3 linked regions of the Arabidopsis thaliana genome follow. The protein of the gene in region 2 interacts with the protein of the main gene of each other region in a pairwise test. Each region holds a gene or a part of one and is shown on either strand. Other genes may lie near its edges.

Region 1 (3,752 bases), on a different chromosome or scaffold from region 2:
TCCGGGACTGAGACCGCTCTCTCTTCCTTATCCTCCATCTTCCAATGGTTTAATCCAGCAACTGTCGACGATGTCGATAACGTACTCCGCTATTTCCTGTAAGTTTCTTCCTCACTGTGTGTCGAATCCGTCCTCAATGCTCAATTTTATCCATTTATTGTGAGACTGTGATTGATTTTGGTTTCCGTTGTTTTATCCAGCTAGTACAGTTTCTGGGTTTTCACCAAAAAGTGTACCTTTTGCTATTCATAGCGTAACCAGGAGGCAATTTCTTAATCCCAACACGTTTTATAGATTTGGGTTCTCTCCTTCTCTTCAGGTCAGATTCCTTTACTAGTCAGTATCATCCAATTCTCCAGACTCTGCTTCGTTGTTGTTTTGGTTCTTAGAATTAGACCACACTTCGTTGCTTCCCTTTGAAGTAGAGAGTCAATGTTTACTGTTATGTGCGGATATGTTGTGCAGGGAAGTAGCATTGAGTTTAGCCTTCAGTTGAATTCAAGAGTTGTGCTTAGTAAAGAGCGTCGATCTCTGCCATTAGTTGTGAGAAATGATCGTCCTCAGAATGAAGACTTACCTAAGCAGTACACAAGGCGAGAGAAGAAACCTTTCCCAGTCCCTATTGTGGACCTGAGACGAGCTGCGAGGGAGAGAGTCAAGAACAACAAAGACAAACCTAAGAGACCTCTACCTCCGCCTAAAAATGGTATGGTTGTGAAGAGCCTTGTGCCTCTTGCTTATAAAGTATACAATGCAAGAATCAGATTGATCAACAATCTCCACCGGCTTATGAAAGTTGTTCGTGTTAATGCTTGTGGGTAAAAATTCTCTTCTTCTTCTTGTTTCATTTTTGGTCTGTTTTGAGTATGGCCTTTTTTTGATGTTGTATGATTGGTCTCTTAGGTGGTGCAATGAGATTCATGTTGGACCTTATGGGCATCCATTTAAGTCGTGTAAAGGTCCCAATACTTCCCAAAGGAAAGGTCTTCATGAATGGACTAACTCGGTTATTGAGGACGTTATTGTTCCTCTTGAAGCCTATCACCTTTTTGACCGCCTTGGCAAGCGTATCCGTCATGATGAAAGATTCTCGATTCCCCGAGTTCCTGCTGTAGTTGAGCTCTGCATTCAGGGCGGCGTTGAAATACCCGAATTTCCAGCAAAAAGGAGAAGAAAACCGATTATCCGCATTGGCAAAAGCGAGTTTGTTGATGCAGATGAAACTGAATTGCCTGATCCAGAGCCTCAGCCTCCTCCAGTGCCATTGTTAACTGAGTTACCTGTCTCAGAGATCACTCCCCCATCTAGCGAAGAAGAAACAGTCTCCTTAGCCGAAGAAACATTACAGGCCTGGGAAGAAATGAGAGCAGGAGCCAAAAAGCTGATGAGGATGTACAGGGTTAGGGTCTGTGGGTACTGTCCAGAGGTTCACGTAGGTCCAACGGGACACAAGGCCCAGAACTGTGGTGCATTCAAGCACCAACAGCGGAATGGCCAGCATGGTTGGCAATCTGCAGTACTTGACGACTTGATACCGCCAAGATATGTTTGGCATGTTCCTGATGTGAATGGGCCACCGATGCAGCGAGAGCTACGAAGCTTCTACGGGCAAGCACCTGCTGTTGTGGAGATATGTGCTCAGGCTGGCGCTGTTGTACCTGAGCATTATAGAGCTACAATGAGACTGGAGGTTGGAATTCCTTCGAGTGTGAAAGAAGCTGAGATGGTTGTTTGATATGTAGAAGACCTTGTAAACTTCTTCTTGTACAAAATCCTCCATTCCACCTTGTGTTGTATAATAATATCACAGCCCAGGTCTTTTTGACTTTTGAAGGACAAAAAAAACAATCCACGCTAATCCTATTATCAAGGGTAAAAATGTCATTTGCTTCGTTTTCATCTTTTCTCGTTGCCATTTTCTTTTTTTTGTCTGTGTCAAGTCGATACCACTTGTCTGGTAGCTTTATACCCACTTTCATCTTTTTCATGTTCGTAGTTGTTCCTCTGGTTATCCTCATCAACGGGACCCTTGAAACCGTGTAGCCATGTAAGCCTTTGTCTTTGTCTCTTTCTCTTGCTTCAGCAAGTTCACGTCTGCTCTATTTCTAATTTTGTTCTAAGATTCAATTCTCCTTTTTTCTATGCGAGAAATTTAAGATTGGTTCTCTAGCTCTACCTCTTTAAATTTGTTACTATGTGTCGGTGTCCATCATTCATCAAATTTTTTCCTTTTTTATCCATTTGAGTTGATGTAATGATGTTGCTTCGCTTCATACTGGTCAGAGTTAGTCTAATCTTCATTTTAGCACAACTTGACAACTTCATATGGTTATGACTTATTTTTACTTGGGTCTTTCAAAGGTTAAGTATTTTAGTCTTATTTTGGGATGATGCAGCTTGCTTAATGATTAGAGTCTTAAAGCTGTGCTCTTTCTTCATCGATTTGAGCAAGTGATCTTGGAAGGCTCTTGAGTTCTGAATTCCTTGTAAGCAATCATGGCAGGGAAAAGAGAAAACTTTGTGAGGTTAGTGCTGCATCCTTTTGTTTTAATACAAAGATCTGAAGTTTGAATGTGAGAAACGTATTGATTTGGCAATGGTTGTTTCTGATTTGTTTCCTTATGAAAGTATAGTGTGATTGTACTGAACTATAGCTTGTTGGTGCATAGTAATCTGAAAGTGGTGTTGTTCATACCTTTTATAGGGTGGATGATTTGGACTCTAGGTTACCATCATCATCTGTAGCCTTCCAACAGAACTACGCCTCCAATTTCAGTGGACAACTTCATCCTATTCATGCAAGCAATGAAACTTCTAGATCCTTCAAGAAAGGTATCCAGAAGGGTTCCAAAGGGCTTAAGTCGATCGGACGTTCACTTGGTTTCGGTGTTTATCGAGCAGTGTTCCCAGAAGACCTTAAAGTATCTGAAAAGAAGATATTTGATCCTCAGGATAAATTCCTTTTGTATTGCAATAAATTATTCGTTGCGTCATGTATTCTTTCAGTGTTTGTGGACCCTTTTTTCTTCTATCTTCCTGTGATTAATGCTGAGTCCAAGTGCCTGGGTATTGACAGAAAACTGGCTATCACAGCAAGTACATTGCGGACTTTTATCGATGTGTTTTATCTCGCTCACATGGCTCTCCAGCTTAGGACTGCTTATATTGCACCTTCATCACGGGTCTTTGGGCGAGGTGAACTCGTGATTGATCCTGCACAGATAGCAAAGAGATATCTACAACGTTGGTTTATTATTGACTTTCTCTCAGTACTTCCTCTCCCTCAGGTTGGTTAATATAAGTTTTGATCATTTCAGTAAATTGTGTGTTGGAAAACATCATTGCTTAATTTGTTGAAAGGGTGCAGTAGCCAGTAGTTGGTGATCAGACATCTCTGTCAAGCGCTTTCTAGTTCTAGATTTACAGTACTCATTTTGTGTATGTGCAGATTGTAGTTTGGAGGTTCTTGCAAAGTTCAAATGGGTCGGATGTATTGGCTACAAAGCAGGCCTTGCTTTTCATTGTTTTGGTCCAGTATATACCGCGATTCCTACGTGTCTTACCCTTGACGTCAGAATTGAAAAGGACAGCAGGTGTCTTTGCTGAAACGGCTTGGGCTGGTGCCGCTTATTATCTGCTTTTATATATGCTTGCAAGTCATGTGAGTTTATATACCTTTTTCATTTTAAGACGTTGCTTGTACTATTCAATGCTTGCCCATTCACCATGAGTTATGTGACTGTGGCACCAAA
Region 2 (3,752 bases):
GTATATGGGTATGAGTGAATATACCTTGGGGCCAGAGAGGGTTTCATTAGATAATAATATGCGGAGAGTGTTTGATGCATAACGTAGTTCCCAGTATACTTTGATGACCTCGAGAGATATATAACAGCAATCACAAGGGGCAAGAGAATACAGACACCAACTATCCAAAGCAATAATATGCCACCAGATGCTCCATCAATGTCTAGAAGAAATTGAGGAAGAGCAATGCCCATTTGAAATCCCTGCGATCACATAACAATATTTTAGTCTCAATAGGCTTGTCAATAAGACGGGAGCACATGCGAAGGGAAAGGAGATGTATCCTTACCTGTCTGCCATCTGGATGACCATACTTCTCAAAGTTTTCACGGGATACTGAATCAGTCAAAGCCTGGTATGCTTTAGATATGAACTCCACAAAATATTTATTGGCTTCTGTAGAGATCAACAAATGCGCATAGAAGAAAAAACTATCAGGATCAAAAGCTGCAACCATAATTCCGTAATGATCAAAAGGGAAAAAAAAAATAACAAGGGGAAAAACTTGACCTGGATCTGGATTTTTATCAGGATGGTATTGAATCGACAGCCTTCTATATGCTTTCTTTATTTCTGAATCTGTAACTCCAGGTTCCAGTCCAAGTATACTGAATGGGTCAAAAACTTGAGCCTGTAACACAAAAGAAGGTAAATAAGCAAGTAGAATTAGTTGATATAAGTCAGCGGTGCATTCAAGTTCAACAGCAAGCAATGGGATTACCTCACGGCTCATGTTCTTAGTGTAATAAATCAAGAAAATCATCACGACCCAGAGTAGCACAAGTGTCAAGTTGCTCCACGTAGAGAAGTTAGAGATCTGCAGATAGATAAGTGAAGAAGAGGTTAGGAACATGCAATAATCTATTACAGAGCAGGAGGTTGAGTGGAAAGTAACCTTTTTAAACAAGGATCTCTTATATTTTCCAGAACGGTCACACTCGAGACACTGACAATGAATGGTCCTTTGTTTCTTGGAGAGAGCACCGCTTAACTTGACCATGGTGTAAGGCACCAAAGGAATTGCCATAATCGTCAAGATAAAAATGGGAAACAATGCGCTATTCTCTTCTGACGCCGCCATCTTTGGAGCCTTTAAACTGAGAGATTCTATTCTGCTGAAAGGAAAAGCTCTGTTATAATCTCACAACATCCAAAAAGCTTCAAGGATACAAAATTATCAATAACATGAAAAGCTGGATCTGAGGCCACTGAAATTAATTAGGGATTCTACATGACGGAGATCAACACTAATAGATCTCGGCTAATCTAGTCTAAAGGTATATGAATCCCTGGACTCACTTTGAGATCGACACAAAACCTTAGAAAACAAACAAACGAAACTACGGGAAGGAAGCAAAACCAATAATTGGTGAAAGAAGATGAAATCGAACTTGAAAGGATATTGTAGAAGAGGAAATCGAAGAAGAAGCTCACCTAGGATGATAGCTCTCTATAATCAGAGAGATCGCGCTGCTGCAGATCGGCAACAAACGGCGTTGCAGTTTTTTTTTCTTTATGCTTCTCTTCTCTTCTAATTTCTGATTTCTGATTGGTGAGTTCTTTCTTCTTTACTTGCTTATTCACTTTTCTTTACCTTCTCAATTAAAATATTTCGCAATTCATTTCTCTCTTTACATTTTTACGAGTTATTTATTTTCCATTAAATTAGAGTAATTATTAATAGCAAAGTTTTTATGGTGAACGAAAACGAATTTCCCAAAAAAAATCACATTTTTTATAAATTAGAAAGGAAAAAGAGAAAAGGATATGGATCAAAGAGGGATTATATGCTCTAGAGATTTAATGTGATCCAGATATTGTAATAGGGATTGCAACAAATCTCTTATATGTTCTAGAGATTTAATGTGATCTAGAGATTGTAAATAGTTACAACAAAATAGAGATTTAAACAAAACAAATATTTAATGATTTTAAGAAAACTGTTTTGTTGTAACTATTTATATTTCGACCAGAAATAAATTGTTCTACTTGCAAAATACATCAATCTTCGTTATTATTATCGATTTAATCATAAACTGTCTAATTCAATTAAATTTATAAGAGCATGGTTACCAATACTTTTTTATCTACTGTAACGAAAGCTAATAATGATTTTGAATGAGTTTGGTATGATTTGGTTATTCGATTCACTAAAATAGTCGTTTTAAATCTAGCCAAATATCGTATAATTTTACTTGTTTTGATTATATTAAATAATCAGTTATTTGAAAACTTTGTTGACATGTTAATATTATATATAACTAAAACAAAATATAGATATTAAAAACAAAGAAAATGTTATTATATAGCTATTATCGTTTTTCATACCATTTAAATTTTATTACTGGCTTTCATATTATGATATTGTTGTACATAGACACCACTGCTAAAATGCTTATTAACTTGAGATTTTGCTTGTGAGATTTGGAGGCTAATTTTTTTCTCGGTTAAGCATTTCTCGCATCATATGCCTTCCACATAGTTTGAGCTTTTGTTCACCAAATGTTCTTACCACTCTCAAGAAACTGGCAGCACACGAATATGCTTTCCACATGGTTTGAGCTTTTCTCTTGGACAAAAACTCGTTCACCAAATGTTCCTACCACTCTCAAGAAACTGGCAGCACACGCATATGCCTTCCACATAGTTTGAGCTTCTCTCTTGGACAAAAACTCGTTCACCAAATGTTCCTTCCACTCTCAAAAAAATGGCAGCACACGGTGGAGTTTACCACATTTGAAAACAAGTAAATAATGTCTTACATAATTCACAGTCACTGCTTTCTTCGATCATTTTCAAGAATTTTGACCGTGAAATTTGCAATACCATATCTTCAAGAAGACATCTAAAAGGTTTTCGCAATCTGGTGATTAGGTTAATGCTCTTTTGTAATACATTTCTTTCATTTTATATATGATATTAACATTTATAACAAAAGAAAACAATCATAGCATATTGCATGTCATTGCAAGTTTGCTATATACAGTAGTTTTAAACCGAGTAAACTTAAGATCAGGTAGGAAAGATGCAAATAAAGAAGCAAGTGATACCAAAAATATATGTAAACATTTAATATAGTTCTTCAATCTAATTGACGATTAGAAAGTACTGTACTAGATGATTACGATCCAAGATTTTTGTCCACACTAAGAATATTTCACAAAATAAGGTTTGCAACAGTAGGATTGAAATGCCAGTAAACAGTGACATTATCTCGAAAAAATCCAACTCAGAAATCATTTACTAGCTAATAATATTTTTCAAATAGTTTAGAATTATTATTGTTGTTTATCATTAACGCATACAAAGTTAGTTGTATAATCTTTCAACTTATAAATAATTTGGTTTTGGACGGAAGAGCTTTACGCAAATGTATTAATTTGGTTTTGATAATTTTTATTTGTAGACTCGATTTGTTTACGTAAATTATGAAAGAGAGGCAAAAATAAATATCATAAGATATAGTATTAGAAGAAAAGGACATAAAAGTAGTAATTAAAAAAAAAAAGGAAAAGAAAGTGTGAAAAGAAAAAAGGAAAAGTAGAGAGGAACGCAACCCTGGGGGCTTCTTAATAAACCCCTCTCGCTCTCTTGTCTCTTCCTTACGACAACCTCTCCTGCTCTTCGTTTTCTCTCTACGACGATAAAACCCAGATTTGGGTTCAAGCTTCCATAACTTTAAACCCCTCTCGCGATCCAGGTATGTTTCCCAA
Region 3 (3,752 bases), on a different chromosome or scaffold from region 2:
GAAAACATTCTAAAACTTACCTAGCTTCACTGAGCTACCATTGTCTGAAAAGTTTGTAACTTCCTCGATGTTCTCACTGTTCTTCTTCTCCGGGATACCCATCTTCTCAACAAGAACTTTCAATGCTGCTTCTGTAGGCAAACCTGTTGCTCTAAACAACTTCCCTTCATAGAACACTCCAGCATCATTACAAATTGAACATATCTCAGCAACAGCTTGCAAGTTAGCATCCATATTGTTGCAGCCCCAATCCACAATTCCACCATCTTTAGGATCATAAGTCGTACCACTGACTGAAAACACTCGAGTAGTCGTTGTTTTACCGCCTAATGTGAAGAATTCGGTTGCAGACATCTGGTTTGTTGTTAAAGTCCCGGTTTTATCTGAACAGATCACAGTTGTGCAACCGAGTGTCTCTACACTCGGGAGCTTCCTCACTATCGCGTTCTTCTGCGCCATTTTCCTCGTCCCTAAAGCTAAACATGTCGTGATCACAGCGGGTAAACCCTCGGGTATCGCTGCCACTGCGAGAGCAACAGCGATTTTGAAGTAGTAAGTACATTTCTCGAATGAAAACTTGATATTCACAGGTTTATAGCCATCCACAACATCCCAAGAAACAAAGTTCTTGTAGTTTATCATCCACACAAGAACACAGACAATGCAAATAGCTGTAGTCAATCTACTCCCAAACTCGTCTAGCTTCTTCTTTAACGGAGTCTCGCTCTCTTCAAGCGACGCCTCGTGAATCTGTCTCTGGATTTTCCCGATCTCCGTATCCATACCTATACTTGTCACAATGCAAACGCAGCTTCCGTTAACAACCGTTGTTCCAGCGAAAACCATATTTTCTTTCCCTTGCAGTTCACAATCATCCATGACTACAAGATTCGCTCCTTTCAAAACCGGCATTGCTTCACCGGTTAACGAGCTTTGCTCGACTCTTAAAGTGGATGTTTTCAAACCGGAAACTCTCATATCAGCAGGGACTTTATCTCCTACATTTAACTCCACAATATCCCCTGGAACAAGCTCTCTAGCAGGCAAATTAGGCAACACATTCCCATCTCTCAAAACCTTTGCAGATTCACATTGCATCTCTTTAAGAGCCTCAAGTGCTTTCTCAGCATTACTCTCTTGCCACACACCAACCACAGCGTTTAAAATCAGAATCAAAACAATCACAAAAGGCTCAACAAAGGCCTCGAACCCTGAACCTGAGCCGTGTTCCTCACCTAAAAAGGCTAAAACGAAAGAGATAAACGCAGCACCGAGAAGAATCTTCACAAGCGTATCGTCGAATTGTTCCAATACAAGATGCCATAAAGGCTTGCCTTTCTCCTTAGCAAGCTCGTTAAAACCGTACTTTTGACGGCGGATTTGGACATCTTCGCTAGTTAAACCCTTGTCTAATCTTGTCTTGTACTCTTTCAAACATTGCTCAACAGACCAAGACCACGCCGAGAACGACTTCTCCTCCTCCATTGGTTCAAAAGCTTTACTTTAACTCAAAACGGTTATTTTCTTCTTGTGTATGTGAGAAACCGTTTATCAAATTCCTGTAGAAAAATTTCAATCAAACAATGAAATATCAATTTTTAAACAACAAATAAAGTTACAGTTTTTATTGACGGTTTGATATCTTTTACAACATAGAACATAATAAATAATCAAAGATCTAAAAAAAATACAAACCCAGAAACCCAAAACAAGAACTGAGTTAAACAGAGAGAGAAACAGAGTATAAATTCTTACCTAAATTCCAAGAAAAACCAGTTAGAGCTTTCGTCATTGAAATATCAAACATGAAAGAAAGTCCATCAAGAAAGAAAAAAATGATTTGACTAAAAGTTTGCTTGGAGACAAAGCTGAAGAAGACCCAAGAATTTTTGAAAAAGTAAGAAGTAAAATTTTATTCCCAAATTTGATTCGCGTTCTACCACTAAAAAGGAAAAAGGACAAATCTTGATTTGGACAAGTCGTGGTTTCGTGTTTGAAACTCGTTGTCTTTTAATTTTTGCCTTTATTGCTTAAATTTTGAATATATTTTGCTTTGTTCTTCTTCTCTTCTCTCTGTGGTTTTGCTTTCCACTTTCCAGAAAAGCGAAGGTTTGGTAATAGTGATATACGTGGTCCCATCTGATTGGCTGTCCATAAAGAAAACGGAACGTTATTAACCCCTTGAAAAGACTGTAGTACCCTTCATTTAAAACTGTTATTACATGTTTGACTTTCCCTTTCCCGTACGGCTCGCTTGATATCGGGGGATATTCCATTTTACTTTCAAATTATTATTATTAAAATCACTTAAAATACGAGTTTACAGATAATAATGAAATTAAAAAGTCAACGATTAAAGACTTTAATAAACCAATGAAATAACCCAAAAGTTCCTTACTACAGTGTTGTTATAATAATCGCAATAAATATTTTAATTTTCAAACATCTGTCAGTAGGAGTGCTGTCTGAAAATCTGCAAGCCTACTCAAACCGTATTAATTGTTATATTCGCTTTTGTGGTTACAACAAAAAGCGAAGTTCCTCGAAGTTTCTTCCATTATTGCCTGATCTACCTCCACTACGCTCGGCTCTATATATATTTTTCTTATTATATACTCACTCCAAAGAAACTCATTAACCAATATAGCTTATAATAATAATTAAGTATACAATTATCGATTGTATAAAACTCCTACTTATATCTTCCTTCGTTCAGATTAGAAAATTTGATTAATTCTAAGCATTGTTCATTAGTTGGCAATGAGCAAAATAACAATTGGTTGATAGATAAATAATACGCTTTTCGATATTTAGGCCGTAGAGCGTTTTCTTTAAGCCCAATATGAGTCCAATACACCAAGAAAGGAAGAATAAGATTCCAGGGACACTTTAAAAACGGCGTCGTGTTCACAAAAGCCTTTTCGTATATTGACCATATTACCCTCCACAGCGATTGTCGTCATCTAACAGTTAACGCCGTCAAAAGATTCTGTAACGGCATTGGTTCAACAGTCTCCGGTTTGATCGCCCAATCATATCTCTGCCGCTGACGTAAGAATCTACTTGTACACTGCAATTTCCACAAGCCAAAGGGAAAGCTTTTATTTTGAGGAAGACGAAGCAATGGGTGTACTCACGAACAAAGTCGAGAGAGACGAGCTTAAACCTGGTGATCACATCTACACTTATCGAGCCGTCTTCGCTTATTCTCACCACGGTACCTTCGATTTCTTCCTTTTGATTTCATCATCAATGAGCTTTTGGCATGAATCATCCATAGTTTTTCCTCAATTTGGATCTTCTTTGTGTAAATTTTAGGGTTTATGTTACCTCTTTCCGTTGCAGAGATGAAGAAACAAACCGTCATTTGGTTTCTTATTGGGTTATTGTGTCAAAAACTCTGTTTTGTTATTAGGTCTTTTTCCCTCATGCCAAAGTTTTTGACTTTATTGAAACGGATCTTCAAAAAGTCTCATCTTTTGTTTTCTCTGGATTCAATCGTACTGATGATGACTTGTCCTTCTATAGTCAATGGTGGTAGCAAATAGATTTTGATTGCTTTTGTTGACATTTCAACTGAAGAAAGCATTTTGTTTTCTTCTAAATTTTCCACATTTGTAGGCGTATTTGTTGGTGGTTGCAAAGTGGTTCATTTCAAACCTGAGCACAGCTTGATATCTCCTACACTCGCTTCTTCTTCTTCTTCTTCGTCTTCTTCAGTTTCAGAGGTTAATGATTCTTCAGAAGCTCCT

What was found.
Region 1: the proteins of ATERDJ2A (region 2) and CNGC5 interact in a protein complementation assay, tested with the Arabidopsis thaliana proteins (one large-scale study listed by BioGRID).
Region 3: the proteins of ATERDJ2A (region 2) and ECA2 interact in a protein complementation assay, tested with the Arabidopsis thaliana proteins (one large-scale study listed by BioGRID).

What each region holds. Positions count from the first base shown.
Region 1 is NC_003076.8:23,454,620-23,458,371, forward strand, and holds the start of CNGC5 (cyclic nucleotide gated channel 5), read left to right. Parts: upstream 1-1,945; 5' UTR 1,946-2,047; exon of another isoform or gene 2,048-2,278; intron 2,279-2,396; 5' UTR 2,397-2,496; coding exon 2,497-2,525; intron 2,526-2,704; coding exon 2,705-3,287; intron 3,288-3,448; coding exon 3,449-3,661; intron 3,662-3,752. Other genes in the region: APO2 (APO RNA-binding protein (DUF794)), read left to right, coding at 71-98, 201-319, 466-818, 904-1,735. UniProt on the Arabidopsis thaliana protein: Probable cyclic nucleotide-gated ion channel.
Region 2 is NC_003070.9:30,067,391-30,071,142, reverse strand, and holds the start of ATERDJ2A (DnaJ / Sec63 Brl domains-containing protein), read right to left. Parts: upstream 1,625-3,752; 5' UTR 1,474-1,624; exon of another isoform or gene 1,431-1,473; intron 1,155-1,430; exon of another isoform or gene 1,152-1,154; 5' UTR 1,121-1,151; coding exon 935-1,120; intron 857-934; coding exon 761-856; intron 671-760; coding exon 550-670; intron 436-549; coding exon 329-435; intron 243-328; coding exon 25-242; intron 1-24. UniProt on the Arabidopsis thaliana protein: Required for integral membrane and secreted preprotein translocation across the endoplasmic reticulum membrane.
Region 3 is NC_003075.7:384,742-388,493, forward strand, and holds the start of ECA2 (ER-type Ca2+-ATPase 2), read right to left. Parts: upstream 2,110-3,752; 5' UTR 1,756-2,109; intron 1,739-1,755; exon of another isoform or gene 1,560-1,738; 5' UTR 1,486-1,559; coding exon 21-1,485; intron 1-20. Other genes in the region: AT4G00905 (NC domain-containing protein-like protein), read left to right, coding at 3,124-3,217, 3,622-3,752. UniProt on the Arabidopsis thaliana protein: This magnesium-dependent enzyme catalyzes the hydrolysis of ATP coupled with the translocation of calcium from the cytosol to an endomembrane compartment.